2 linked regions of the Callithrix jacchus genome follow. The main gene of each other region encodes a partner of the protein of the gene in region 2 in a complex. Links are inferred from orthologs where the notes say so. Each region holds a gene or a part of one and is shown on either strand. Other genes may lie near its edges. The genes, in order: TIMM10 and TIMM10B.

The links.
Region 1: the proteins of TIMM10B (region 2) and TIMM10 are in contact, whole or in part, in a cryo-EM structure (PDB 7CGP), measured with the Homo sapiens proteins. The link is inferred for Callithrix jacchus from reciprocal best matches to the Homo sapiens genes TIMM10B and TIMM10. Residues at the interface, in NP_036324.1 of Homo sapiens: Gln7, Leu11, Leu14, Arg15, Phe17, Leu18, Leu19, Tyr21, Asn22, Arg23, Met24, Thr25, Glu26, Cys28, Phe29, Val33, Pro34, Ser35, Leu36, His37, His38, Arg39, Leu41, Glu46, Leu49, His50, Ala53, Gly54, Ile57, His61; in NP_036588.1 of Homo sapiens: Ala6, Leu9, Leu13, Glu16, Met17, Asp20, Met21, Arg24, Ala28, Lys32, Cys50, Asp52, Arg53, Cys54, Ser56, Lys57, Tyr58, Asp60, Ile61, His62, Glu63, Arg64, Met65, Gly66, Lys68, Leu69, Leu72, Asp76.

The regions. Positions count from the first base shown.
Region 1 is NC_133511.1:115,094,295-115,110,057, forward strand, and holds TIMM10 (mitochondrial import inner membrane translocase subunit Tim10), read right to left. Parts: upstream 6,823-15,763; 5' UTR 6,789-6,822; exon of another isoform or gene 6,728-6,788; intron 6,634-6,727; exon of another isoform or gene 6,410-6,633; intron 6,301-6,409; 5' UTR 6,256-6,300; coding exon 6,185-6,255; intron 4,679-6,184; coding exon 4,477-4,678; 3' UTR 4,234-4,476; downstream 1-4,233.
Region 2 is NC_133511.1:72,161,456-72,176,909, forward strand, and holds TIMM10B (mitochondrial import inner membrane translocase subunit Tim10 B), read left to right. Parts: upstream 1-8,604; 5' UTR 8,605-8,641; coding exon of another isoform or gene 8,642-8,680; 5' UTR 8,681-8,810; coding exon 8,811-8,954; intron 8,955-9,149; coding exon 9,150-9,326; 3' UTR 9,327-11,882; downstream 11,883-15,454. Other genes in the region: ARFIP2 (arfaptin-2), read right to left, coding at 4,224-4,379, 4,841-5,015, 5,164-5,321, 5,695-6,075, 6,256-6,374, 7,089-7,185, 7,436-7,534. UniProt on the Homo sapiens protein: Component of the TIM22 complex, a complex that mediates the import and insertion of multi-pass transmembrane proteins into the mitochondrial inner membrane.

The sequences.
Region 1 (15,763 bases), about 43 Mb from region 2:
GCTGTTCTCAAACGCCTGGGCTTAAGCTGTCCTCCCACCTCGGACTCCCAAAGTGCTGGGATTACAGATGTGAGCATTGTGCCTGGCCTCGTTACTTGTGCTGTTAATTGATGTATTCCAAGGGTCTAAAACCGTGCCTGGCATATTCTTGGTGTACGTGTAAAATGACTAAATATAATCTTAGACAACTGCAAGAGTTGGTTATCTGTTACTGAGTAACAAATTATCCCAAAATATAGTGGCTTAAAACTACATGTATTATCGCAGTTTGTCTAGGTCAGGAGATAGGGTGCAGCTTAACTGTGTGTTCTGTCTCAGGGTCTCTTACAAGCCTGCAAAGCATTGGCCAGGGTTGCAGTCATCTGAAAGCTCAAGTGGGGAAGGCTCTGCCTCCAAGCTCACTCATGTGGTGAGTGCTTCAGTTCCTCGCTGTCTGGAGGCTTCCCTCAGTTCCTTACCACCACGTGGGCCTCTTGAGAGGTCAGCTCACAACATGGATGCTTGCTAGCTTGCTTCATCAGGGTAAACAGGAGGGAAGAACAAGACAGTGAGAGAGGGAGAGAGAGAATGAGAGCAAGATCAAGAGAGGGAAACCCCCAAGACAGACATTATACTCTTTTGTAATTTAACCTTAGAAGTAGCATCCCACTACCCTTGCTGTGTTCTGTTTATGAGAAGCAAGTCTCTAGGTCTAGTACACACTCAAGGGAGAGGATTATACACAGGCATGAATACCAGGAAGAAGGGATCACTGGAGGCTCCAGTGATCTTCCAGGCTGCCTACCACAAAACATTTACAGCATGTTTTCTCATAGAGCATCCAGTTCATCTGGGCACCCAGAGCAGAAGGCACAAACCAAATGCCTACAGGTCAAGCAGATGATGACAGGGAGGGAAGACACCAGTGGTGGGAAGTTTGGCAGACAATTGAGCCTCTGCCCATCTTCCATCAGGCTGACGCCAGGCAGGAATGCATGTCAACTGTTGTCAGATCTTCCAAATTTTCTTTTTCTTTTTTTTTGTTTCTGAGATGGAGTTTTGCTCTTGTCAACCAGGCTGGAGTGCAGTGGTGCGATCTCTGCTCATTGCAACCTCCGCCTCCGGGGTTCAAGCAATTCTCCTGCCTCAACCTCCGAAGTAGCTGGGATTAAGGTACACACCACCATGTCTGGCTAATTTTTGTATTTTTAGTAGAGATGGGGTTTCACCATGTTGGTCAGGCTGGTCTCAAACTCTGACCTCAGGTAATCCACCCGCCTCAGCCTCCCAAAGTGCTGGGATTAAAGGTATAAGCCACGGCTCCCAGCCCAAAATTTCAAAAGAAGCCAACTTCCTAATTTTTTGAGACATTTTTTGATTTTTAAAACTGATAAGCAAAAATACACCTGAGGGCTAGCAGTTTATGACTCCTCCCTATGGCAGAAAGTACCTACTTCATTTTATTTTGTTTGACAGTGTCTCTCTGTCTCCCAGGCTGGAGTGCAGTGGTGCAATCTCAGTTCACTGTAACCTCAGCCTCCCGGGTTCAAGTGATTCTTATACCTCAGCCTCCCGAGTAGTTGGGATTACAGGTGTGCACCACCAGCCCAGCTATTTTTTTTTTTTTTAATATGGAGTTTCACTCTTGTTCCCCAGGCTAGAGTGCAATGACAAGATCTCGGTTCACTGCAACCTCTGCCTCCCAGGTTCAAGTGATTCTCCTGTCTCAGCCTCCTGAGTAGCTGGGATTACAGGCCCAGCTAATTTTTGTGTTTTTAATAGAGATGGAGTTTTACCATGTTGGCCAGGCTGGTCTCAAACTCCTGACCTCAAGTGATCCACCCACTTCAGTCTCCCAAAGTGCTGGGATTACAGACATGAGCCACCACACCCAGCCCAATTTTTGTATTTTTAGTAGAGATGGGGTTTTACCATGTTGGCCAGGCTGGTCTCAAAGTCCTGGCCTCAAGTTGTCCAACCACCTCGACCTCCCAAAGGGCTGGGATTAAAGGTGTAACCACCACACCCGGTCAGCCTAATTGTTATTTCTTATACCCTTTTATGTGTGTTCCAGCCCTCTTGCTGTCCACTGCACCCCCACCCTGCTTGCTCATGGAGGGTAGGGATCTAACTAATTCACTTTGAGCACTTTCCAGAGCTCTTTGCACGTAGCAGGCCAGTAATAAATACTGTTGAGTGAAATATGAAACTTGACACATCTCTCACTAAGGACCATTCCCCCCAGTCCTAGAGAAGTGGTTAAAAGTGGCCTCTGGTGTCTAAGTTAGAATTCTGGCTCCACCACTTGCAGGCTACACGACTTTAGGCAACTTACTAGCTTTTGAGAACCTCAGCCTCTTCACCTGGGAACAATCATAGCTGTCTTAAAGTTGTTAGAAGAATTATCTGAAATAATACATGTGAAGAATTTAGCACGGAGTTGAGCACACAATAGCAACTCAATAAATTATCAACTTTCACTCACATCATCCCCCTTCTCTGCTCTCTGGCTTCCTGCCTCATCACCCTTTAGTCCCTTATCTACCTTCTTCTACCCCCGTCTACCTGGCTGGCAGCTCGAGTGAGCCACCAAAATGCAAACTTGTCATTGTCACCGAACGATTAAAACTCTTCAATAGTTTGCTGTTGCCCTCAGTAGGAGAAAGTCCAAACTCCTTAACACAGCTCACCAAGCTCTTCTGGAGCTAAGTCTGCCCAGCCTCCAAGCCTCTTCACTTCTCTTCACACTCAGCACTCCAGCCACACTGAAGCTGAAGCTCTCCTTTCTGGAAGGCTCCACCTCCACACTTAAAGCCACTTCAACAAAACCTTTGCAAGTGCCATTGCCTCCAGCTGGAACCTCTCATCCCTTCTACCATCCCTGCTAGATGTTCCAGGGATTTTTTTTTTCTAAACAAATTCTTGATGTTTTTTGCTAAACCTGAGGGCATACATAATATCGATTTTCTTCACCGGTCCTCTCTTCCAAGAATAGGCAAATGATAAAACGTATGAAATTGTCCGCAGCAGCGCTGACCATGAGCAGACAGCGCCACCTGTTGACCAAAAGCTGCACTTCAGTACCTAGAAAGAGCTTTATTGCTCTCTACCCCTAAGAGGAGCAACGGCTTTGAAGTTTTCCACTACATCTGTCATCTTCACCTCCCACCAAACTTAGCAATGAAAAAAAAGCTAATGTTACTGCATACTGAATGTATGCTAGGCACTCTCCTAAGTGCTTTGGTTGTTAACACGTTTAATTTTTGCAACTTCCTAAGAGGTAGGTAACCTTACTGCCATTTTACGATGGGGTAATTGAGGCACAGGGCAGTTAAAATGCCTCACCCAAGATCACACTACCAGAAAATTTCAGTAGAAACTCAAAGTTACATAGTCTGGCTTGAACCTGCACTCACAAGCCCCAAACTCACTGCCTCTATTCTATCTCCTTTATGTCAATGACCTAGTTACATCCCAGACACTTTCGCCAGGAAGGCCAACTTTGAAGGTACTACTGTCACAGTGGCATTGATGTCAACCACAGTCCCATCTGGAGACCTACACATTCTGAAAACTGCTCAGTCCTCTGAAGATGCTCCTCGGTGAGACAGCAAACGCAGTAGCAGTCGGGTCTGGCCTCCATATTATTGCTCTGCTTGTGTGAACTCAAGCAAGCAACATGCTTCTTAAATCCTCAGCTTCCTCATCTGTAAAACAGGGATAGTCAAAGGGCTAACCATGTTTGACTAACCGTTTTACAGATGAAGAAGCGAAAGCAGGCAAAAATGACAGGTTCAGGGCCACATAAAAAACAGCAGAAAGCAGGCAAACTGAAGCTGTCTTCCTGTTTTGTTTTGGTTTTTTGTTTTTTTTTTTTGGAGACAGAGTCTTGCTCTGTCCCCCAGGTTGGAGAGTACAGTGGCACAATCTCGACTCAGGCAACCTCTACCTCTGAGGTTCAGACAATTTTCCTGCCTCAGCCTCCTAAGTAGCTGGGATTACAGGCACATGCCACTACACCCAGGTAATTTTTGTATTTCAGCAGAGATGGGGTTTTGCCATGTTAGCCAGGCTGGTCTTGAACTCCTGACCTCAAGTGATCACCCACGCCCCAAGCCTCCCAAAGTGCTGATTACAGAGTGAGCAACCATGCCGGACTGTCTTACTCTTAAAATACTACATTAGTCTCCTCTCTGCTTGTGAGGTTTTCTCTGTTTACTCTCAAATGCCAAGCACACTGCTTTGCACATAGTAGGTGTCAACAAAGTTGTTTTAATATATATATATATATATACACACACACATACATTCACACACAGTCACATTCCAGTGTGACAAATACTCCTTCACCAGGAGAAAGCACTACCACTCTGGGATCTTGAAGACTCTACCGAGAGCCTAGGCCTGGCAGTCTTCACAGATGACACCCAACAGAGGGCACTTTTATTCGAGTGGGGAGGGGTGGGATATAGCCCAGGGTATATACTGACTGAGACCTCACGCGGGCCCAGAGCTCTGCTGCACCCTCTTCATCAGCTCTTCATCCTGCATAGACAACTCTGTCAACTTTTTGCCCATCCGCTCATGGATGTCCAGGTACTTAGACACACATCGGTCCAGGCACACAGACTCGCCCTTGGACAGCTCTGCTTCCTTGTAGTGAGGAGGCACACACTTCCGGTGGCAGGCACTGGTCATTCTGGAGGGAGGGAGGGGCAAGGTCATGTCAGCAGCATCCTGTGACATCCCAGGAACCCTCGACCATCCCAGCCCTGCTATATTGATTTCACCTTCCCCAAGAAAGCACTATAAATCCTCAGTTTCCACCTCAACCACTGGAAGCTCCTTGCAAGCAGGACACTTGTCTGAGCCCCTGTATATGACTAATTAAGCAGAAAGCATTTGTTAAACTGGCTATGTGCCAGGCATCATGCTAAGTGCTTTACATGCATTCTGTTATGCAATCCTTACAATCACCCTAAGAGATACTTATCCCCATTTTACAGATGAGGAAATTAAGCCAAGAGAGGCTCGGTAATTTTCTAAGAATCACATAGAGCTAAAATATGAACACAGATCATCTGGCCTCACTTCCTACACTTAAAAATCCTTCCTAATTTATAGCCTTCAGGGTAAACCAACCAATCAAGAGAGGTTAAGTCAATAAAAATAGCAGATATTTCACTGTTGCTAAGTGTTGGACTTGAGGCTAAGGGCTTTCAGAAATTTTTAAATGTAATATATATAATACCCTATGAGGTAGGTATCATTATGTCTTTTTCATAATGAGGAAACCAATTGTCAAACAGTGCAAGTAACACGTCCAAGAACACTGCTGGTGATTGGTGGAGCCGGGATTTGTTCCCAAATTTGCCAAATGATTATGAGCACTAGTTGCAGAATCAGACTGAGGTGCTAGTTCTGGTGTTGTTACTGACCAACTGCGGACTCTGAGGAAGTTACTTAACTTCTAGAAGCATCAATTTCCTCATTTTAAGATGGGACTAATAAAATTAACCCACTGGATTATTTTGAAGATTAACAAGTGACTGACACAGAATAAAGGGTTTTGTTTTTTGTTTTTTTGAGATGGAGTTTTGCTCTTGCTGTCCAGGCTGGAGTGCAGTGGCACAATCTCAGCTCACCACAACCTCCGTCTTCTGGGTGCAAGTGATTCTCCTGCCTCAGTCTCCCTAGTAGCTGGGAATACAGGTGCCTGCCACCATGCCCGGATAATTTTTGTATTTTTAGTAGAGATGGGATTGTGCCATGTTGGCCAGACATCTGGAACTTCTGACCTCGTGATCTGCCCACCTCGGCCTCCCAAAGTGCTGGAATTACGGGCATGAGCCACTGCCTCGGCCAAGGGCTTTAAAATGTTAACTACTAAATGGGCTGGCTATGTGCTATTTGCCAAAAAGCAAATACTCAGCTTTTCAGCTTTTCTTGGAACCTAACCAGAGCCTGAATTGGAGTTTCTCTTCCTGCTTGGCTCCCGCATCTCCAGTTCTATCCCCATCTAAATATTCTAGTGACCCTTTACTGCATCTGCATTAGAATCAACCTTGAAGGTGGGTATGGTGAGAGTAAGCATGGGTCTCTCGCTCCCCTACATTCAGGATGAAATTTGTTATAAGTCATTCACCTTCGAAAAGGGTGGCCAAGGCTTATTTTCCAAGACAGTGTAGCACATGGTTCTCTTTACCTGTTGTACATATCGGCCATCATCTCCACCTCCAGCTCTGCGGCCAGCTGTTGGGCCCTGAGCGGATCCATCTTGGCCTAGCACCCTGGAAGGGATCTCCTTCTGGCCTCCTAATCCTGGGAGGAGACACCACCGTCATCACCCACTGCCGTCGTTCACTCTCCTACCCCGGGGCTAGAGGATCCAAAAGACTCACAGGGCGCCAGACCACCAGGGGCCACTAACCTCAGTGAGCTTAACCTAGCTTAACCCCATTTCACGGATGTGGAAACTGAGGCCTAGTCCAAGGTCGCACGGGACATTCACGGCGAGCCTGGAAATCGAGCCCTGGATCTCTGATACCCAAGTCCCTAGAGGTCATCTCTATTCAGAAGATCGAGGACCGGTTCAGAACGCTCTAACCCAGGCCTGAACCTCCAGGGCCCTGGGAATGAGATCATACGCTGAACAGAGGAGACCGGGACCCGGCCCAAAGGATGCACTTCTGAAATGGTGACGCCATAATCAGGGACACATTGAATTCAGAAGTCACGGATCACTCACCACTACCTGGGACGGATCACAATGCCCACGGAGACCTTACAAATACTATAACGTTACCTGCCTCCCAAGAAGGCTCCAGCGGAAGCACGTGGATTACTTCCGGGAGAGAAGTCCCGCCTCTTCTTGGCTCCAAACTCGCTTCCGGAATGAAATACCAACGAGACGGCTCCGGGAACTCGGCGATCTTACAAAGGGAGCGAGCGGCGCCGGGCGAAGAGGAAGGCGATTTGCCAGTGCTAGAGGGGACGCCAAAGTACCATAGAGGCTTGGGCTGGGTGCAGAGCGCCTGCGGCCCGATCAGAATTCAAGTCTCAGGTTGTCACCGAGAGTTTTCAGTTTATTGGTTCTGTAGGAAGAGGTGTGGCGACAGATATCAGTGAACCTCACCCCCGTCCGGGACAGCCACAAATCAGGCGTGGAGACGGAAGAACACCCCCAACAGCGGTTCTCAGTTTTTGTTTCGCGTTAAAATCACCTGGAACGCTTTTAAAAATCCCAGTGCCCACGACTCGCCTCATTTCAATTAAATCAGAATCTCTGCGAGTAGGACCCAGGTATCAGTACAATTTAAAATTCCCCAGGTGATTCGTTTGTACAGCCAAATTTGAGAAGCAGTGCTCCATAGGACGTTGTGCGATTACTGCTGTGTGTAGATCACACTAACACTGTCTGGGTTGCAAAGATAAGCGAGATACGGTTCCTGCTTACAGAAAGAGGAGACGTGTGAAATACGTTTTCTTCAACAGTGAGAGGCCCTGAGCCATAAAAAGATTAATAAACGCAATTTAGGCTGCCACCAGGACTAATCTTGGGTGAGGCAGAAGGAGGGTACTGGTGAACTTCTCATCTTTCAAGACTTAATGTATTCCTCAAACTGCACCATTCGCTCATTGCCCACTAAAAAGAAGGAAACAACACTCAGTCCCTTGATTTGTCACACAATTTCCTAGTAAAATAAATTTACAAGATGTAAATTAATGACTCAAGGGTACATTGCCCATTGGAAAAGGTGGGCTAGACATTTTATATGTATGGTCGTCACATGCTTCTCTAATTGTCCAGGACCATCCTGATTTTAAACAGCTGACCTTCCTACTGCTCTGAAGACTCATCTTTGTCAAACCTTGTGCCCCGATTTTTTAAGATTGAGGTATAACATTCATGAAGTGCATAAAATACACAACTCTAAAGCTTATATATATATATACATTCATATAACCACCACACAGATCAGGATATGCTTCCTGTACCCCAAAAAGTTATCTAGTGTTCCTTCCCCATCAATACTCCCTCTCGAAGTTAACCACTATTCTGACCTGTATCACCATCAATTAGTTTTCCCTGTTCTTGAACTTAAGGTAAATGGAATTATACATTATTTTCTATTTTGTGCCTGACTTCTTATTTATTTATTTATTTGAGATGGAGTCTCACTGTTGTCAGGCTGGAGTGCACTGGCACGATCTCGGCTCACTGCAACCCCCACCTGCCCAGTTCAAGCGATTCTCCTGCCTCAGCCTCCTGAGTAGCTGGGATGACAGGGGTGTGCCACCACTCCCAGCTAACTTTTGTATTTTTAGTAGAGACGGGGTTTCACCATGTTAGCCAGGATAGTCTCGATCTCTTGACCTCCTCATGATCCACCCGCCTCAGCTTCCCAAAGTGCTGGGATTACAGGTGTGAGCCACCCCACCGGCCTGTGCCTGAGTTCTTTAGCTCAATTTACCTGTAAGATTTCTTCCACTTTGTTGTGTGTATCTGTTATTTCTTCTGTTTTATTGCTGTCTAGTGTTTGACTGTATGAATATGCCACAATTCGTTTATCCATTCTCCTGTTGATGGATGTTTGGATTGTTTCCAGTTTTTGCCTATTATGCAAAAATGCTGCTGTCATACTCTTGTACAGATAGACGTATCTTGCCTTGGGTTTTGCTTTTGAAAATATAGTAAACATTGGCCAGGTGCGGTGGCTCACAAGTGTAATCCCAGCACTTTGGGAGGCTGAGGCGGGTGGATCATCTGAGGTCAGGAGTTCAAGACCAGCCTGGCCAACATGGTGATACCCCATCTCTACTAAAAATAAAAAAAAAATTAGTCAGGTATGATGGCGGGCACCTTTAATCTCAGCTACTCAGGAGGCTAAGGCAGTAGAATCGCTTGAACCTGGGAGACAGAGGTTGCAGTGAGCCAACATCACGCCACTGCACTCCAGCCTGGGCAGCAAGAGTGAAACTCTGACTCAAAAAAAAAAAAGAAAAGAAAAGAATAAAAAAAAGAAAATACAGTCAACATTATGTTTCCCAGGCTGGTCTCAAACTCCTGGGCTCAAACAATACTCCTGTCTCGGCTTCCCAAAGTGTTGGGATTATAGGCATGAGTCATTCCATGCCAAGCTGGAATATTTAAGACATATGGAAAAGCAGAGAGAACAGGACATTGAGCTTCCATATATTCATCACCAGAACTTAGCAATTGTTAACCTTTGTCCATATTTTCTTCGTCCATTTTTATTTCTAACAGAGAAATCCTTTTTATTTATTTATTTATTTATTGAGACAGGGTCTCACTCTGTCACTCAGGCTGGAGTGCAGAGGCCTAGTCATAGCTCACCGTTACCTTAAACTCCTGGGCTCAAGCAATCCTCCCATCTCAGCCTCCTGAATAGCTAGGGCTACGGGCACAAGCCACCATGCCTGTCTGGTTTTTAAATTTTTTTGTGGAAACAGGATCTTGCTATGTTGTCCAGGCTCGTTTCAAGCTCCTGGCCTCAAGCAATCCTCCTGCCTTGGTCTCCCAAAGCACTGGCATTACAGGCATCACCACACTGGGCCCTGCCTAACACTTCTATTTTGAGACGGAGTCTCACTCTCTCGCCAGGCTGGAGTGTAGTGGCACAGTCTCGGCTCACTGCAACCTCTTCCTTCTGGATTCAAGAGATTCTCTTGCCTCAGCCTCCTGAGTAGGTGGGACTACAGGCGCACACCACCATGCCCAGCTAATTTTTGTATTTTTAGTAGAGACGGGGCTTCACCATGTTAGCCAGGATGGTCTCAATCTCCTGACCTTATGATCTACCTGCCTCGGTCTCCCAAAGTGCTGGGGTTACAGGCGTGAGCCTCAGTGCACGGCCAACAAATGTTTAAGTGCATAATACAGTATTTTTAACTATATGTACCATTTTGTACACAGATCTCTAGAACTCATTCATCTTGTGTAACTGAAATTTTATACCCATTGAAGAGCAACTCCCCATTTCCCCAACTGTTCAGCCTCTGGACAACCATTGTCTTACTGATGGTAATGCTATTGTTATTTTTATAGTTATTTACTATGCGATTGTGTCTTTCCTCTATGTGGGGACCTACAGGTAGGAATCTCTCATGGTCCCAGTGAGTTGCTGCTTTTTGTTTTATTTTTTCTTGAGATGGAGTTTTGCTCTTATTGCCCAGGCTGGAGAGCAGTGATGTGATCTCAGCTCGCCGCAACCTCTGCCTCCCAGGTTCAAGCGATCTTCTTTCTTTTTTTTTTTTTTTTACTGTATTTCCTCAGTTTTCCCTAAAGAACATCAAGCGATCTTCTGCCTCAGCCTTCCAAGTAGCTGGGATTACAGGCATGCGCCACCACACCCAGCTAATTTTGTATTTTTAGTAGAGACAGGGTTTCTCCATGTTGGTCAGGCTGGTCTCGAACTCCCGACCTCAGGTGATCTGTCCGCCTCAGCCTCCCAAAGTGCTGGGATCACAGACGTGAGCCAGTGCACCTGGCCTGACCTCCTTCTTGTAGAAGACAACTTAGCCTTAGACTTTGAAGATATCCTTAGACCTCCAGATATGTCATCCAAAACTGCGGATCTCTCAACACCATGCTGCAACTCCGGCTCCTCCGTCTACCCTGAATTCTACCTCTTCCCAATTTCACAAAGGTGAGTTGTATATTTTTCATTCATCTTGGGTCCGTATTGCCCTCTCAGATGGGACCCAGCCCCAGAAGAAGAGATGCAGAGTTTTCACCTAGATTCACTTCAAGTTGGCCCTGACCACTCATGAGAGGTGCAGAGAATACAAAAACAGAGGCTTCCTGTGACCTCCCTTGTGATGGAATGGCTTACGTCATCCTATTCACTTGAAGAAAAAGCTGGCCCTGGCTTTATCACTGCCTGCAGTTTCCCTGTTTCACTGTCTGCACTCTCATTGCTTCCCACCACTTCTTCTCACTTCCACGGCTGACACTGGTCCAAGCCACCACCGTCGTGCACCAGGGCCACTGAGTTTGTCTCCTGGCTGCTCTCCCCAGTTCTCTCCATGCTTCCCCTTCACTTTACTCTCAAAACAGCACCCATCCACAGTGCACCTGCCCCAGATTGGCGAGTTCTTCCACATCTCTCTCTGGCTTGCTGGGCTCTTTTTTGTTTAAATTCATTTATCTTGCCCTGCTGTCATTAGATATTGAAAAGAAAAATAGGCCAGGCATGGTGGTTCATGCCTATAATCCCAGCCGGATTTTGAGTATTACTAGAAGCAGCCAGCAACCATTAATATTGGACTGTTCGATCACTAGTACCCAAACCTGGATGCACAAAAAGATCTCTCTTTTAGATCATCCCACACAAGGCCTCCAAGTTCCTATCACATACTTTTCTTTTCTTTCTTTTTTTTTTTTGAGACGAAGTCTTGCTCTGTTGCCCAGGCTGGAGTGCGGTAGCTTGATCTCCGCTCACTGCAACCTCCACCTCCTGAGTTCAAGAGATTCTCTACCTCAGCCTCCTGAGTAGCTGGGATTACAGGAACCCGCCAGCATGCCTGGCTAATTTTTGTATTTTTAGTAGAGATGGGGTTTCACTATCTTGACCAGGCTGGTCTTGAACTCCTGACCTTGTGATCCACCCTCCTTGGCCTCCCAAAGTGCTGGGATTACAGGTGTGAGCCACCGCACCCGGCCATCCTGTCACATATGTCTGTTAATTAATTAGTTCATTATGTGTTGAACTAATTAATGTACTGATCAATACATCAGTATGTATTGATCAAGCACCTAATATGAGCCAGACAGGTTATAAGGAAAAGAATAAAGTAATTTTAGATTTAGTATGATGAGAACAATAAAAACAGCTGAAATGATGGAGAGGAATTGAAGGTCATGGGAGACCTCTTGAGGGAATGAAATTTGAGCTGAGTCCAGAAGAATGAGAGGGAGCCAGTCTTGCAGAGTAGAAGGAAAAACTAGTCCTGAGTCTGAAAAGGGATAGATTTATTTAAGGAATAGAAAGGAGGCCAGTGTGGCCTAGTGGTGGGGAGTCGGGGAGGAGGATTGGGGGGTCCCAAGCTTCGTAGTAGTAAGAGTATCCCCTGTACCCAATCTCCAAAAGCAGTGGCTTTCTTAGATCATAAAACACACAGAAAGTGAAGGCCTGGTTTTTTGTTTTGATTTGTTTTGTTTATTGAGAAGGAGTCTTGTTCTGTTGCCCTGGCTGGAGTACACTGGCACAATCTCAGCTCACCGTGACCTCCTCCATCCGGGTTCAAGTGATTCTTCTGCCTCAGCCTCCTGAGTAGCTGGGATTACAGGTGTGTGCCACCACTCCCAGCTAATTTTTATATTTTTAGGAGAGACAGGGTTTCACTGTGTTGGCCAGGCTGGTCTCGAACTCCTGGCCTCAAGTCATCCACCCACCTCGGACTCCCAAAGTGCTAGGATTATAGGCACGAGCCATTGCGCCCGGGCTTGTTTTGTATTTTCTTTGCAAAATGTCAGTTCAGTATAAAAATGTGTTCAGGGCCTACTGTGTACCTGCCACTTCAGCTCAGAATAGAACTCAGGAGTTTTGTGTTTTCCAGACTCCATCTAGTGACCCGTCAGCTTGCCCCATCACTTTTGCCCTCTCTGCCCCTCCTCCTCCAAATCTCTCCGTCCATTGTGAGCCCTGAGACACATCCCTGTGTCGGCAGCTGCCCCATTCAGCCCCTCCTTAGCCCAGCCTTAAGCAGCTGCTTTTGTCTCAGGACGAGGGAAAGGGCCTATGTAAGGAACCTGGCGGTGTGAGTGTGAAGGAACCCGGGAGGCCTCGCCTGGGCTCTGGATGAGCAGCGGAGGCCAGGGTCATGCTACACGTGGGTCCTGAAGACAGCTGTTAAGGTCTCTAGGGTTAGGAGAGTCCATTGGGAAGAAAGGTGACCACGGGACGGATGCTGCCAGGCTCAGGGCGGGAGGGACATGCCGTGATTGAAAGGTGCCACCTGTCAGATCTTCCATGGGAAATCCGAGCCTCCCAGTCTAGGGGAAAGTGTTGTACCAACAGGGCAGTAAACAATGCTCTTCAGGCAGCCCAAGCCACTTGAAGTGGGGGTGGGGTGGGGTGGAAGAGGGAGAGGAAGAGGGGAGGCGGGACCAAAGAGCTGGGGGCTAGAGGCCACTGGGGCTTAAAGGCAGCCTGGAGTGAGGCTGCTCAGCTGGAGGAAAGAGACAGCTCCCGAGCCACAGGCAGAAGCCCCACAGGTAGGAGAAGCCCTGGGCTCCTTTCTAAGGGTCCCTCTCCATCTGCCAATTCTCCCTCCCACCTTCCAAGGGCCCCCCAGTTGGAGAAATCTAGGCTCCTTTCTAATTCTCTCCACCGCGATGTCTACTCTCGTTAGATGCCAGGATTCTCAACCCTGGGGAGCTGGGCAACCTTGAGATCACCTACAGAGCAGCCTGCAGGTGACCATCCATGAGGAGGCCTCAGAGCAGGGGAGGGGACCTTGGGAGTCTTGAGAGTCAAGCTGGGTTGGGACAGACTGTCTAAGCCAAGCCTGTCCAGCCCACAGGCCGCCTGTGGCCCAGGATGGCTTTGAATGTGGCCCGACATGAATTCATAAACTTTCTTAAAACATTATGAGATTTTTTTCTTTTTGCAATTTTTGTTTTAGCTCATCAGCTAGTGTTAATATATTTTACATGTGGCCCAAGACAATTCTACTTCTACCAGAATGGCATAGGGAAGCTAAAAGATTGGACACCCCTGAGATCAGCCTCTCCAAGGGAGGACCTCTGGCTGGGTGAAGGTGGAAGCCTTAGGACAAATGAATGAGAGATGAGGCTGCAGTGGGTGGAGGATGCATCACAGAACATCCAGCATTTATACTTCTAAGGGTTTGGAACTTGAGCTCCCATGTCCCTTTCATCCTGGGCTACCAGAAGAAGCAAGAAAAGGCCAGGCACGGTGGCTCATGCCTGTAATCCCAGCACTTTGGGAGGCCGAGGCAGGAGGATCATCTGAGGTCAGGAGTTCGAAACCAGCCTGGCCAACATGATGAAACCCCGTCACTACTGAAAATACAAAATTAGTCGGGCGTGATGGCACATGCCTGTAATCACAACTACTAGGGAGACTGAGGCAGGAGAATCACTTGAACCCGGGAGGTGGAGGTTGCAGTGAGCTGAGATCACGCCATTGCACTCCAGCCTGGGCAAAAAGAGTGAAACTCTGTCTCAAAAAAAAGAAACAGGAAGAGAGAGGGAGGGGAGTTATCTGCAGTGCTGCTTTGGACACATTAACAGGGATAGTCTGAAGGCTTCCTGGGGAAGGAAGGAGGAAGGAAAGGAGAGAGTAAGAAAGGAAGGTGGGGGTGGAGAAACGTTCATGAAGGACCTACTGTGCACCCAGAAGAAAGAGAGAGGAACTCCTCAGCTGAATCTGACTGCCCTTTTCAACTCGTGGGGTGCCCGCACTCTGGGCCGGGGCCTTTGGAGGGACACTGGGCCGAGGGGCTTGTGGGAGCATGTATTTGGTGTGAGTTGTAGAGGGGGAGTCGGGACTCTTGGATTCTAGATAGGGCTAGGCTATTTGTCCTGTGACTTTTGTCAAGGGATGTCAACTCCCTGAGCCTCAGATTCCTACTGGCTCCCTAATGGGGCCAATAACCAATTGTGAAGGGTCAGAGCTGGAAACCATTGAGAGAAAGCAGGGCCCCGCAGCTTAAGCTGTCAACTGCTGTAGGGCTGTGAATGCTGGGGGTAGGGGTGGCATCCCGGTTTCTCAGCATTTCTGAGTATCTTCACTCCTTTCCTATTTATGACAAGCCTGGAGGGTGGAAAGCTGAGGTGATGAACGTGCAGGATAGCCGAGGGATGTGTATGCATGTGTGTGTGTGTGCACGCGCGTGTGTGTACGTACATCTACCCTTCCCCTCCACCACCCTAGGTATATAGCATGTAGACAGAAGGAAAGAGTGGCCAGCCTCGGTGGCTCCTGGCTATAAATAAACCCAGCACTTCAGGAGGCCAAGGCAGGAGGATCACTTGAGGCCCAGAGTTTGAGACCAGCCTGGGAAACATAGTAAGACCCCATCTCTATAAAAAAATAAAAAGCAAAAAACTAGCCAGGTGTGGTGGCTCACACCTAGGGTCACAGCTCCTTGGGAGGCTGAGGTGGGAGGATCACTTGAGTCCAGGAGGTGGAGGTCACAGTGAGCTATGATTGAACCACTGCACTCCAGCCTGGGCAACAGAATGAGACCCTGTCTCTTAAAAAGAAAAGATGACTGGAGCACTCAGCTATGTCTTAGCCAAATAGTGTCACACTTTGAGGTATAAAAAGGGCTTGTTATCATCTCACTGGCATTCAGTTCTCTCTGTCTTGTCTCACTGATAAAGGCCCTCGAGGCTCCGTCAGGATCTTGCTCTGGCACAGGGCTGGGCATAACCAATCCACACCATGCGAGCTGATGAGTGCTGAGTACTCATTCATGCAAAGCATGCTTCTGAATCCTGTTTCATTTTTTGGTTTTTTTTTTTTTTAAGAAATGGGGTCTCACTTTGTTGCCCAGGCTGGAGTATAGTGACTATTCATAGGCAACCTTTATAGTGCACTGCAGGCTTGACCTCCTGCCTCAACCTCCCAAGTAGTTGGGACCGCAGGCATGGACCACCACATCTGGCTCCAAATATTTTCTAAGCAAGGGCTTCCTTAATCCTGCACCATCCCTATGGGATAGGACCTATTGTTAACTGCTGAAATCGAAACACAGAGAGGACAGAAAGGTTGCTCAACGTTACACAATT
Region 2 (15,454 bases):
GACTCTGCTCAAGTTCTCTCAGCAAGAATGCCATTGTGCCCTAAGTGGCTGTGGCAGTATCTGGCACGCAGGAATTACTCAGTATATGTTGGTTACAGGAGAGCCCTGTTTAAATCTCTGCAATTCCCTTTCATGAGAGAGAGATGCAAAAGTAATGGCAGTAACAAGACAAGGGAATAAAGTCTCAAGAAGAGAGACCTCTGCTTAATATAAGGAAGCTTTTCCACAGCAGAAGGTAGCAAGTGCTCTGTCACTGGAGGCATACAAGCCCAAAGAGACAGGGCACCTGTCAGGCCTGCAGCTTTGATTTCCAATTCTGCAGTAAATCATCCCCTGCTTAGGGAATGAATGAGCACCGGTGAGCTAGATAGACTGACCAGGAGAGACCTGTGAAGATTTCTGTACCTGCTCTGACCTCCCAGATAGGATCTTCCTGCTAGGATCAGTACTGAGTTTCTGTTGTCCACATCAGAGAACCCCCACACCAAGAACAAACCCAGGGCTGCCCTCAGTCGAACTGCCCTCCCTGGGGTGCAGCCTGCCCCTCCAATCTGCAACCATCTGTCCCTGCAGGTTTGCAGCCCAGGATCTGAAGCCAATTCCAGAAGGGAGGAGGTCAGAACCAGGGAGGGGCCTGGGGTCCTCCAGGCAGGGTTCAGGCTACAGAACCAGAGGGGTCCTTTCCTTTAAAAAAAACAACCTCTACATGAGGCTTCCTGTCCATAGAGCAGTGGGGAGGAAAGGGTGTCCTCCATCCTGACTGGTGGGCCTGTGGGTGCCAGAGGATGGAAGGGGCGGGGCGGTGGGGTAGGGTGGGGGTGGGGGAGCAAGGGGTGGAGGTGTCTGCACCAGGAAGAAAAGAGCCCTTCAGACAACTGGGCCACAATATTCCAGAGTCCCACTCAGCACTCGCCACCATCAGCACCACCAACACCCTCGGCCGCAGCGTTCAGCACCCTCCGCCAACACACACAAGCTCCCAAACCCCGCGCTCCTCCAAGGAACCATCACCCATCCACCCGCGCCTCCCCGCCTCAAAACAAGGACCTCACGTGAACAGCCACAGCCCGAAGAATCCCCCTGCTGCTCTCACGGACATGGACACGCCTCACGTGGGCAGAGAGAGGCACAGCTTTTGAAAATCATCCGTGCCCCCACCCACAGACGCTCGGACCCAGACCCAGGCTGACAGGAATACAAACGCACCCTTGGGGCCCGCCCGTCGCACTCACCGCGTTGGAGCAGGATGCGAAGGCAAAGCCCGGACTGCGGCCACTCTGAGGGGCCCGCGGCGCTGCTGCTGCTTCCAGCGCCCGTCCGCCCGGCCCTGCTCGCGCCTCCGCCTGTCCCCGCGCCGGCGCCGCCGCCGGACCAGCCGCACAGGCCGGAGGGAGGGGCCGGGGCGGGGCTGCGGACCGGCCGGGGGAGGGGGCGACTCCAGCAGGGAAGACCCACCCACGCCCCGCCCGCCGCAGCGGAGGCCCCGCCCACCCCGCCTGCCCACCCCTACCGCACCCGCACGCCCCCACCCAACGCCCCCACCTCCTGCGGACGCTGCCTCCGCGGTGCTGCTGGGGAGCCGGCGAACCGGATCCCGGATCCCGGATCCCGGATCCCCGATCCCCGCCAGCTGCCTCCGGCTCCCGAGGACTCCGGGAATGGCGGTGTAGTCGGTCCCAGGAACTCAGATGAGACTCCGTCCAGAAAAGGCAGCTGGGGCAGCAGAGATTTCGGACTCTGGGAGCCCGTCTGGGCTGCCTGCCTCCTGGGGGCGCCCTTTCCGGCTTCCTTCGGGTGCTCCTGTGGAATATGCTAGTCTATCGGCTGACCAGGAAGACGTAGAAACCATCTGTATGTTAGCACGATCTCTGGGCGGCAGAAGGACAGTACTAAGAGCTCTGGGAGGAGTTAAGGGGTAAAAAGATGGGGGACTTGATTAGGCTGTGGGTGCCTCAGGAGCCCCCTCCTGAGGAAATTCTGGTTCAGACCATCCAGCGACTCCCTTCCTCACACCAAAGACACTAGGCAATTCTCATAATCATTGCCTTGTGCAAAAAGCAGCCCCATGTGGAAAATAATTATAACAGTTTACAGGGACTGTGTGGTTATGATGTGCGACACAGAACTAGCCACTTTACATATATTCTTTAATAGTCATAACTGTATTAGGTAATGTGTTTTATTAGCCGTTTTACAATGGAAGAAACAGGGATCTGGCTCCCCAGATGTCAGCCCTGATCACTCAGCTAGAAAGTGGCAGAACCTGGAGTTGAGCCCTGTTTTTAGGCCCTACCACCAGCATTTGGAGACTCAGTAACTTTCGTGTTGAAAAATCCCCAGTGGCCCATTAAGTGGCAGCTCATATGAGGACCACCTTCCTTGTCCCAAAAGTCAAGCTCTAGTCAGATGACTGCAGGCTGACCAAAGCCCAGAAAACTGCCTGGGAGCTGCAGTAACCATGACAAACGGCAAAGACAGGCCTGTGAGGTACCCAGTGCTATGGGAATCTGCTGAATGGGCTGTCCCCTTGCTCCAGCCTTCCAGAGGGGGAGAATCCTGAAAAATTCTGGAGTTTTCCTTGGCTAAAGGGCATACAGGTGATGACATCTGAGCCCTGACTAAACCAAAGTGCTGTTAGGAAGCTTTCTTGTGATCTCTCACACAAGGTTCAGATTTAGGCTCAACACCTGGGCGCAGCAGGAGCAGGAACTGCCTCAACCTCTTATCCACCTGAGTTCAGCACATAGCACAGGGTACTCCAGTGCTTGTGAAGGAACCCCAGATGGAGATGATGCTTGGAGTTTTGGGCTAGGGCTACTACCCAAGATGAGGGGACTGGAGTCGATAGGACACTATCTGACGCTTCAGAGGACTACTTTTCTCAACCCTATACTTCTCCCATGCAGTCAAATTTCTGCTTAAAACGTTTCACAGCTCCTCCAGAAGGCTAAAGTCCTTAACCACCTGCAGTCTTGATCTAGCCACTCCCTCTTCATTTTTCATTCCAAACAATTCCTCCTAGTTCCTACTCAGAGTTTTCATTATATGTTGGCCTCTCTGCTTGGGACGGGATGCTCTTCCCTTTACCCTGCCTGGTTGTCATCTACTCACCCTTCAGGTCTCAGCTTTCAAACTGACATCCCCATTTCCACCCCAGTCTATGCCAGATGCCTGCTTCCATTGCGCCCTGTACTTCTGTATCCTAGTACTTATCACTGTATTGTAGTTGCCTGGTTACTTTTTTTCCCCCACTAGGCCCTAAGCACTGTGCGCAGCGACTGTTTTATTCACTGATGTTTCCCCAGGGTCTAACGAAGTGCCTGGCAAATAAAAGCACTCAGTAAATATTTGCTGTATGAATGAATGCATGATGAAGGTCAGCAAATCCAACCCCCTCTGGAGTTGATGCTCTTAAGATCCATAGCTATCTTGGTGCCAGCTAAAGGACAAATAAAGCTTTGGTTCCAACTGGGGCTGGGAGAGAAGACTGCACCTTCAGACCATCTCTGAAATCTAGGACTTCAGCTACCTGGCCCCAGCTCTTTTAACTTGAGAGGGTTCTGGTGTATGATTAGACTGGGCATGTCTCCACCCAGGCCACCCTCCTAAAGCCCCCCCACAAATTGACCTCGCTGGGCCTGCTTTTATGAAAGGTTTATTCCTAGTGCTAGATCCCAATCTTCTTGGGCTCTAAGCACAATTAAACTGGGTGGGTGGGTGAGGGTAGGCCTATTCAGATGCAAGGCCAGCAATGGGGCTCCCCATTATCCCCACCCCTTTGGTCCCAGTCCCCTTCTCTGCAATGGGCATAGAGGAGAGACAAAGGGTATTGGATGCAACATCATTGGCCCAGGGGAGCCCAAGAAGAGCTGCCATTGGCTGACAGGGCATTTTGAGGCTCTGTCATTGGTCAGGAGGCACACCCCAGCCTGAGGAGTGATGCCATTGGCCAGGGAGTGGTTTTGTCATAGCCATTGGCTGTGGAGTGGAAGGAAGAGATCTGGGAATGAAGCCCTGTGGCCAGAAAGGGCAGCAGCTTCTGGGCCTGCAGGCCCTCTTCCCACCATAGCAATGTGGGCAAAACTGGTGTCAGGCCCCAGCCAGAAAAAGGAGCCCAAGCTAGAGGGCAAGTGACAAGGGAAGTCCCATGTCCAATCTCCCACACACCCTAGGGCTGCCCTTCCCAATGTCCTTCTTGATAGCCAAGTTGGGCTGGGAGCAGCTCACTGCTCCTCTAGCCAGGAGGGTTTCTCAGCTCCTGGAGGCCGCAGCTTGATGTTGAACTGCTGCAGGGTCTGCTCCAGCTGTTTCTGGTTCCCAGCAAAGTAGGCGGACACGGCATTGTGGAAGAGCAGCAGCTGCTTGTGCATCACCTTGATCTGGGGGTCCAGCAGGGTCAGCTAAGGCTGGACTCAGGCGCCCTTCTTGAGGGTCTATGAGCCTGAGCCCAGGCACAGACCAGGGGCACAAGGACTCTGCTCTGATGGTGCTTTTGGGGTAAGGGCTGAACTCTACCCCAGGGAGTCAAAGAAGAAGGGTCAGTCTGATGGAAGAAACCTCACTTGATCTGTTGGGCCTAGGGTTTTGGTACCCCAGCTAAGGGGGTGATTTTTCCCAGTAATGTTCCTGGGACCAGGAGCCAAATCCTCCAATAGGAAAGGGCCAGGAACTGGAGGGAGGGTGATGTGGAAAGGCCCAGGGGTTGAGAGGGAGCTGAGGGGGTAACATTCTACTCCCTAGCTAGGCTGCACTTCCCCATTCAATATGGGGAGGGTCTGAGGGGAAGGTTAGTGTCACAGATGGAAAGGTGGGCTAGGGTCAAGGAGGGTGGGGTTGGCACCTTGTTTTCTTCCAGGAACTTGAGCTTGATGGCCACATCTCCCCGCAGCTTCTCATACTTGTCCCGATGGGCCTGGAAAGTGGCCTGGGCACTCTCGAGTCGACCACGTGTCCCTGCATCCCGGGGGCCTAGGCTCAGCTCCTCTAAGTCTGTTCGGTAGGCATCATATTCCAGCCTGGGGAGGGGGTGATACAGGCTGGTCTCCACCCCTTTGTCTTCAACACATACTCTCCTTTCCTTCCTGAATTCTTATGCCCCTAATGCCCAAATTTCCTTCCATGCCAGCCAACTCCCCAAACCCCAAGCCCTGCCAGTGCCCACACCTGGCAGCCTCATACTGTTTCACAGTCATGAGCGTGTCTTCCATGGTCTTGGTGACCAATGTGTTGATGCTAGAGACAAAGAAGTTCACGGCTCCTAGCAGCGTTTCCCCATTCTTGCATAGCAGTTTCTGTGTCTCTGCATTGTAGCCAAATTCCTCCTGAGGAAAGGAACAGGCCTTGAATAACACTCTCTACTAGACTGGAGCTGTAGAGTCCTTCATTCCCCTCCTCCCCAGGGAGGAAATAGCCAGCAAAACTGGAACAACCAAGGACTGCCTCCAGCAAGGCTCTGTTAGCCAGAAAGTTAGTGGGGTCACCCTGGGGATACCTGGGGTAGGAATGTGGGTGGTGGGCATTCTTGGATAAGTTCACAAGACTGGAACAGTCTGAGAGCTAGTGTGCCAGGCAGGGGAGGGGCTCTGATTAGGTGAGCACTGAAGGCATTCTCCCCAATGCAGAGAGGGGTTATTTGTGAGGCACCTAGTGTGCCCCCTCCCCCACCCCCTCCAACTTCTGGATCTCTGTACAAACCCTTAGGCTGCCTCCACAGGTGAGTGCTGCTGGGGGTAGGGCTGGGCCCACCCTGAAGGGGTTCTCCCTGTGGGCTGCAGGAGGGAGGGAGGATGAGGAATGACTGCCTGAGAGGGCCCGTGCCCAGTTCCCCCACCCTCTTTGGTCTGGCTGAGGCACCTGAAGCTCTGGGGACTTCTGGCTGAGGTCAGCAAAGGCATCACCCAGTGCATGCTGGGTCTGCAGCAGGCTGTAGAGGTGGGCTGTTAGTGCCCGGCCCAGCTGCAGGACACTCTCATACTTGCGCTTCGTCTCACGCAGCAACTCAATCTGTAGCTCTAGCTCCAGGTCCACAGTCCGTGAGCCTCGACCAAATCGTTCTGATAATAGTTGCTTTGTGCACTGATTGGGAAATGGGGGAATAGGTCAGAGACCCTAATAGCCTCCCCACACAACAATATCTATCCCAGCACCCCCAGGCTCCTACTCTCAGCCACAGATGAGGTATTTATGATCATGAGAAAAAGGGAAAAAAGGTACCCATAAGGAGTTTTGGGGAAGGGAGAGGTGCTTAAATTCTACCTTATAGGTGTTGATGCCCCATTTCTTGACAATGTCAAACTTCTCTCCAGCGATGCCCCGAGCCACCTCATCTCCAGGGCCAGCAGGAGTGGTGCTGTGAGATGGATGGCGGCCAGACCCTAAAGGATCAAGTTCTCTGACACCAGCCTCTCTTAGACATATGACACCTCTGTGGCCCCACCCATACTTCTCTCCCAGCACATGAAATTGACTTCCCTGAAGGAAATGCTAAAGACAACTGGATTCTACTGCTTACTAGGAGGAACTCGAATCTTGCACGGTGAGAACCAAATCCTGGTATATATATGACTTCCTTAGGGGTTGGAGGAGGGGTTTGCAGGGAGTTGCTGGTGTACAGGGGCAGAGGAAACAGAAGAAAATACACCGACTTTGGGGGTAGCAGGAGTAAAGGATGGTGGATCATGCTAACAAGAAACCTGGTTGCATTCCCATGTGGAATCTTAGTGTGAGATTCAGGACTGTTTGTTCCTCTAAACTTTAGAATCTAAAATAAAATTCTGAGAAGCCTCACAAAGTTCCAACTCAGCCTCAAGCTGTAGAGTAGGGCATTCCTGTGAAGTAGGTCTTAACTTTGCTCAGGTGGTGGCAGAGAAAGGACAAATGAGCCATTTCAGGGGCCAAATAGCAAAAGGGAAGTGGATGGACAATGCTGGGAGTTGCTCTTGGGCTGAGGAGAGTCCATGGGGTTCATACAAGCAGAAGTTCCCAAGATATCTAGACATAATTTAAGCTTTCCTTGACATATCCTATGCTTCCCCAAACCATTCCTGTCCCCTCCTCCACCCAAGCTTCCTGTTTCTGAACATTCATACCTGTGGGGATGAGTCCATCACCAGAGCCCCCATAGCCACCAGACACAATGCTGGTTTCATTGAGGTTGGGTCCTGACACCATCACCTGCTGGAGGTCCTATAGGCCAGAGAAGAGGGATTGCTTCAGGAACATAGGTGGAGCAGAAGCATTTTGGAGGTGGGAACAAGTTTGGATTCAAGCATCATAAAGTCAGTATACAAGGGAACTCTGCACAGAATCAGAATGATATGTAAAAAGAATGGAGTCAGATAAGTCAGGGGAAGGCTACTGGAATCGGGGGTGAGAACCCAGGGCTTAGAAATTGGATTCCTAAATTGAAACAATTAGAAAAATCAAACAGAAGCACCTGCTCCAGCCCATCATCTTCAGGAAGCTGCCTGGCTTCGCCGTTCCCGTGGATAGGGATCTCCATTGTGGCTGCCTTCCCTAGGATCCCGTCCGTCATGGCTAGGGAAGGTATTGGAGTAAAACTCTCCACCCCAGCACCCTGCAAAGCCCAACACAGAAGTTCTGGACACCGGCCAGCACTCTAGAAGAAGGAGGCCCCCCCTGTCATTTCTGAGGTTTCAAAGGCTGTCGCAGGGTTTGAGTGTCCCAGCGTTTGGCCACCATTCCTTTCTTCAGGTGTATGTATTTCTCCCCTCCAAAATGCACATGTGTACATAGGCACACCAAAGCACTGTGTCTCCTCACAAGTCCCCAGTCTCACCAGGACTCTGGTGATTATTCATATACTCATTCAGTCATTCAGCAGACATTTAGTGGGTGCCTCCTATGTGTCAAGCACTATTTCTAACAATTAAAACACAACAGTGAAGAGGGAAAGCCCGCTCTCTTAGAACTTATCTCCATGCAGGCGTGCTTATGCTGAGCCTTTCCAGGGCTCCGGTCTTCACCCCCCCGCCCAATTCAGGTTTGTTCTCCATTGCTTGGCCTTTCACACTCCTTTAGTGTTTCTTCCCCCTTCCTTCAGGGGGTCTCCCCCTCCTCTGTCTCATGCACCTCCTCTTCCTCGGGCCCTCCCCACCAGGCCTTAGTTAGATCAGTTGATGTATGTTCCCAGTCTCTGGTAAAAGCCTCTCTCCCAGGATAGCGGTGATCCCTTCCACAGTCAGTTATGTCTCTCAGGTGTGTGAGTCCCCGCCCCCACCCCCATACACCTGGACATCAGGTGTGTCCTCATCCTTCCCCAGGGCTCGAGGCATCTTGCCCTCTGGACAGGTTTGTGCGTTCAACTTCCCGTCGCCCAAGCATGTCCCTCTCACCTCGGGCCGGGCCGCTCTTCCCCTCAGGGCGCCAGGCCCGGGCCGCGCGGGGACCTCGGGCTCCAGTTCCAGTCGCGATCCTAGCAGCAGGTCAGGGACTCGGCGGAAGTGACGTCCTCTCCGGGCAGAAGAAGCCGGCCACGTCGCAGATTATAAGGGCGGAGGTGACGTCGCAGCCGCGGGCAGGGCGATGCTCGAGCTAGTTCTCCAGAGCGGCGAGAGGTTCCTTCCGGGGCGGCACCGAGAAGCTGAAACGGAAGTGGCGTAGGGCATGCGCCGGTGGCGTGATGGAGCAGCAGCCTCAGCAACAACAGCAACTTAGAAACGTGAGTGAGAACTAAGTCGTTGCGGGGCCAGAAGTTCAGCTCGCATTCCTGCGCACATCGCGGGAACCCCATGGAGCCAGGGATTTGAGGGCTGGAAACATCGGGCTATGGTGCGCGGGCCTGGGAAACTATGGGCGGCGAGACCTTGAGTAGAAGTGTGGTCTCCCTTTTCTCCCAGCTGCGTGACTTCCTGTTGGTCTACAATCGGATGACAGAACTCTGCTTCCAGCGCTGTGTGCCCAGCTTGCACCACCGAGCTCTGGACGCTGAGGAGGTGGGGCACTGTGTAGGGAAGTTACGCTACAGATAGTTTAGCAGTAGACTGCTTCCCTCCTCTCCCCACTTCCCCTATCTCTGGCCCTGGCCTTTTCCACGGCCCTCACCCCTAGGCTGGGCATGGGGAAGGAAGGGGGCGGGCCTGACAGGAAAGACACCTTTACCCTCCTCTTAAACCCTGTCTTCCTTCTAGGAGGCCTGTCTGCACAGCTGTGCTGGGAAGCTGATCCATTCCAACCACCGCCTCATGGCCGCTTACGTGCAGCTCATGCCTGCCCTGGTACAGCGCCGCATCGCAGACTACGAGGCTGCCTCGGCTGTGCCAGGCGTTGCTGCTGAACAGCCTGGGGTCTCTCCATCAGGCAGCTAGCCATCCCCAACCCCACGAGGGAAGGCCCTGGACGGACTTCTCTGATTGAAGGACCCCAGTGGACCTTGGGGTTGGTGAATCCTATACAGAGAGAATTCGAGGTTGCCTGAAAGCTGGGTGTCCTTGCTCCTTTTCCTCGAGCCAATAAACCCGCTTTTTATTCTGTTTGATTTATATTCTGGGCAAGGAAGCTTTGCCGACTTAATTGGCACAATCCTTTGTTCTGTCATTTAGTGCATATCCGCTGGCTTCAGCCCTGGCAGCTGAGGAATTTTCTTCTATATGTAGAAGGAAAACCTGAGCATTTGTAGGCATCTGGTTAAAGCAGGCTCTATGTGTACAGTTTTAAGATGGGTACTATGTCATGCTATACCTTAGTTCATCTTTACAACAAAACTATGAGTAAGAGGTATTAGCCTTATTTAACAGATGAGGAAGTAAAAATCCAGAATGTACCAGAAGGCCAATTTATACAACAGGAAATTGGTTCCTGCCCAGATGACAGGAAATGGGAGCTCTGTCTAGTTGTCCTTAAGTCTGACTGACTTCAATGGCTCATAATCATGAGCCAAGTATTTGTTGGTTCATAACTGTTTTGTGAACTATGTCTTACATGTCTAGAATTCTGCTGGATCTAGGAAAGAAGAAGCTATCTAAGTACAACCTGTCAAAAAAAAAAAAAACCACAGGGCTCTTGGGTACTGCCTTCTGGAGAAGTTAGTGGCCACAGAAGAGAGATGAAACCTGTAAGAAGTCTGGGAACTTCAGCCATTTCCCCAGCTTGTTACTTCCTTAGTATTTACAGTATTCTCAAGATGAGCAGTAAAACCTTTGAACAAAGAAGTCTGTGCTTGTCTTCAGGGGCAATCAGGAAGGGAGAAAGTTGGCACATATTCTGCAATACAGCCAAATCCGAGGGAGAAACTGAAGGGCTAAAGGGACAAGTAGATAGCAGTCGTTGTGATAAAAAGGATAAAACTAAATATTTTTATTTAGTTTTATTTAGCATTATTCCTTCATGCTACCTTAATGTTTCACTGCTTGTCTAGAATTTCCTAATTCCAGCTTTCTATCATCTGCCCCATATTGGTCCCATGGTGTATGTTCTGTGATTTCTAATTCCAGCCTCTCCATTCTTTTCTCGTTATTGCCTCCCCCGCCTCCCACCTTTGTGTAATTTACTTCTGTATTCAGCAGCCTTAATAGCATACCATTCCATCACCCCATTTTCTTGCCATCATTGGCCATCTTTTTGTATCATTCTGCTTATTCTGTCTTTTCTGTTCCTCCAAACTACTAGAGTAAAACAGTTGTGTAATGAATGCCACTAAATATTCAAGGCCTCCACCCTCAGCCAAGTCCTCACATCTACACGCAGTCCTTTACCTTTATGGGTTTCTGGTCCATTTCCTTCTTTAATTACCATGGCAGTTATTTTATACCTTCACTGCTGTCCTTAATTGCATACCCCACCCTCATCAAGTGACCCTGTTTCTTTTTTTAAAAGAATGGAAGCTCTTAGACATTGGTTCCACAGTAATAAATTTTAAAATTTCTTACAACTACCCACAAAGCAGATGTTCTATCCTATCTACAGAGCAGAAAATTGAAATTCTCAAGTAGCAAGCCCATTATTAAAGTGCAGATCTGACTTTAAAGTCCATGTTCATTTTGCACACCAGGCTGCCTCTTAAGATAGTATTTATTGAACACCCACTTTGTATAGGTTCTGATTTTGGTAGATGTCATGCTTTATCTTAATCTTTATAACACAACTATAAGAGGTATTAGCCTCACTTAACAGATGAGCAAGCAACAATCCAGAATGTGCCAGAAGACCCTTTTATAGACAGTTCTTGTTTTTGTTTTTGATATGGAGTCTTGCTCTGTTGCCCAGGCTGGAGTACAGTGATGCTATCTTGGTTTACTGCAACCTCTGCCTCCCGGGTTCAAGCAGTTCTCCTGCCTCAGCCTTCCAAGTAGCCTGGGATTACAGGCATGTGCTACCATGCCTGGATAATTTTTTTGTATTTTTACTAGAGACGGGTTTCACCACATTGGCCGGGCTGCTCTGGATCTCCTGACCTTGTGATCTACCTACCTTGGCCTCCAAAGTCCTGGAATTATAGGCTTGAGCCACCATATCCAGTCTATATACAGTTTCTTATTGAGAAAAAATAGTTCGAATCATGTTTTTGCCCCCTTTAGCTGCCATCTCTTGAACAGAAAAGTTTGTTCTGAACTATTCCCTCTATACACAGTTTCTTATTGAGAAAAAATAGTTCCAATCATGTTTTTGCCCCCTTTAGCTGCCATCTCTTGAACAGAAAAGTTTGTTTGGATGGTAAAAGTTGCTGACCAGGACCTTACCCACGGAGTTGCTTTCTATTTAATGAAATTTCTGTCCTTGGGAAATATAAATGCAAGTAAAACAGGTTGTGAACTTCTTAACTTCCAGAAGACAGGAGGATGGAACCTGTGATACTGTGCTGCCAGTGGGAGGACTCTTCCACATCAACATTTTTGTGTATCCTTGCAATAAACTTCCATTGTGAATATTTGTGCTTCTCGTCTTTCCATGTCATATGATAGTAACTGCTTAAGAAGAGCTAGGAACATAGATCTGTTTGACTCTAAAGCCTTTGCTCTTTGGACTTTGAGAGCTTCTATCTGCGAGCTCATTTGTACTTAACCTGCCTCTAGGCATGAAAAAACAAATGTCCCTCAACCTTACCCATCAGTTAATCCCTTAAAATTTCAAAATCTTTTGTCCTGGTTCTTCCCTGTTTATAAATAAGTTCACGTGTAGGAGAAAAACCTTATTCCTACCATTCTGACTTGCGTATAATCTGGTATTCCTCAGGTCTTGCCATAAAGTGATAGCCATTGGCATAATGAGAGCAAGGTGATATTCCAAGCACAACATTAAAGAATAAATGTTGACAAAGCTTTATCATGTTATTTATCCCGTTATCACAAACATAAACATTGGAGATACTTTAGTGTTCCTGCCATTGTGGCTTGAGAACTTCTCAGTCTTTTGAGGCTAGTCATGCATACAACCCTCTCATTACTTATCTACCACTCTCATTTACTACAACTCTCCTGCTGCTTTACTATAAATAGCTAGCTCTTGGTCTTCCTGTCCACTCCTTGATATTTTAATATTTTCATAGACAATTTATTTGGTGTTTTGTCTCAGTTCTTTGGCCCAATCTCTGATAGTTTTCACTATGTCTTAGCCATTCACTCCCTTTGTCATATTTTGGCCATTTGTCATGACCTCAAACTGCTCGATCTTCAAAATACTTGCATCTTATTATTGACCATATTCCTTCCACTTGGTTTATTGAACTATTCCCTCTGCAGTCTCTGATTTCACTGCAGCCAATGCTTCTTTCCATTAGCTCCTTCCTTCTTTACATTCCTAGATAGCTTAAACTAGTGATTTGCATACAATGGGCTGAATTTCCTTGCCTTTCATCTCTTGTTTTGAACCCTTAAATAAAGTGAAACTTGTCTGTGCCTGCATTTGGACAGCTAAATGCCACCCAAGGAAACTACTGTGGAGCAAATTTACACCACTATAAATCCATGGTTATCAGCTTCAAATGTCTCAGCCCCATAGTCCTACTAGATTTTTCTAGTCATTTTTACTTATCCCAGCAATTACCATTTCAAACCATATTCTTAAATCTGTTATTACCCCCCACCCCACCACCATTATCTTTACTTTATGCAAGTAACTCTTTCTTCATAGACGAAAGTTGCAGCTATCGGTAATTCCCTCAACATCCCACAATTTATTTACCCACATATATGCATCATTCTCTTTCATCTAAACAAGGCAAGTATACCTCTTGTCTAAGGCCAGTGCCTATTCCTGTGCTCAGAATCCTAGTCCTTTTCTCTGAGGATCTTTGACTTACACTTTACTGAATTCTTATCAGTGTTTAAACATGCTAAAGACTCCCCTGTTAATAAACCATAAACCACTTTGTACCTCATTTCTTTTCCAGTTACCCTTCCATCTTTTCTGCTTTACAGTTAAACTTCTCAAAACAGTTGGATAGTTTGGGCCTCTTCATCCTACAGGTCATTTTCCATTTCCATTCTTCAAACCAGTTCATTTTGACTTCTGCAACCCTCATTCTATTGAAATGGTTCTAAGGTCACCTTGGTGATGACCTTCCTATCTTGAATCCAGTAGTTATTTCCCAGTCCTCACTACTCACTTCTCAGTAGCATTTGGTAAAATTTTCTAGCTTCTTATTGTTGATACTCTTCCATTGGTGCCTGGTTCTACTTTTACAGTTTTACTACTACCTCTTTGACCATAGCTTCTTAGCCTCCTTTGCAGGCTCATCCTCCTCCTAGCCTTTAAATCTAAGATTTTCTTTAGGTCCTGTTCTTCTCAGTCTAATTGTTCTAGGACAGTTTCATTCCCACTCTGAACTTATTTCCTGATGACTTCCAGATCTCCTCCAAGCTATTTGACGTCTCCACTTAGGTATCTCAAAAACATCCCAAACTCAATATGTTTCCTAATAAACTATCCTGTGCCTGGTACTCATCATCCAGTTGCAGAAGCTCGAAGGCATTTCCCTTTTTCTCCTGTCACTCAATTGCCAAATCTTATCAGTTTACATTTCTAAATATCTCTTGGTTCTCACTACCTTTCTCCACCTTTACCATGATCTCCCACCACGATTATTGCAGTTGCTGCTGCTTCCTATACCCACTTTTGTACCCCTTCAATCTATTCTTCACTCCTAAGCCATAAAATACAAACTAATGCTTAACCATTGCAATAGCTTCCTATTCTTACGATAAAAACAGATTCTAAATATGACCTGCAATGCCCTGCATGATCCAGCCTCTGCCTATTCCCAGCCTTATCAGTAACTATCAAACATTGGCCTGCCAGGACTGTTTGCTGAATCGATTCAAGTCATAATTCACTGTTTCCCTCTGTCTGTGCTCTAGCCACACTGGCCTTCTTTCACTTTCTCTAACTTGTCATGTACTAGTTCATCTCAAGGCCTTTGTATGTGCTGTTTCCTGGCTTACAATGCTTTCCCCCTTTATCTACCTTTCATGCTTGAGATCCTAGTTATTATTTCCTCAAAGAACTCTTCCCGAGACTCCAGCTCCCATAATCCCTTATGCTTTTGGTGTATCACACTCTTCAGTATGTTTTTCAAGTTTTACTTTGAATTATGTTAATTACAGCATTTGAAAGGGAGAATCTAATTTCACACAAAATAGAAGACTCTAAAATATACCCATTAAACTGCTAAAAAATAAATTCAGTGGTGAGAATACAGCAGAAGTCCAATTTAGATTCTGAGTATTGTCACCATGTGTTTCCTCCAAGCTTATATCTGGAGCTCCTGGAAGCCATTTCATACTCTGGTGGAGGGGCACAAAATCACAGCATGAGAAGGAATTAAATCCTGAATTACTGGCTTCATCACATCCACCCCCTCCACCCCAAAATGGCGCAAAAGAAACAGTCACCACACCCTGAAGACCTTTGGTTTAAAAGAGGTATTGATTAACTGGGTTGGAAACAGGTCATGAAGATCTGTCTAAAAGAGTCCCTTTCAAGTGAGTTTGCACACACATCAAGCAACAAGCCTCTCATTAATTAGGGCTAGGAAACCAAGGTTTGATTCTTAGGAAGTCACAATTTCATTCACTCAATATGATTTACAAAATGCCTACATATCAGCTTCCACTTGTAGTCATTTCTAGATAAAAAAGGAACCTGGCATCTCTAGAAGGGCCACCAAATTCCCCTTCCAAGTGTATAACTGAAAGGACCATTTTTGGAACTGGGTTTCTTTTATACCTCTGAAAGGGTAACACTTTAAAGCTGAATTATCTTTAGCCTGTAAATCTAACATCTTTAGCCTATAAATCTAACATTTAGCAATGCTTGCATCCCGGACATACAGTAAAAGAGACAAATTCGGAAGGTAGCTCTGCTGCAAAATAATGTAAAAGTATTGTACGGTATTTATGCTCAAAACTGCAGTTCCAAACCTAGCATGTGGCCACTGGCATTGTCATTCGTGCCATCCAGGACAGTTGACAGTGTCATTTTGATACCTGGCTTTAGGGTC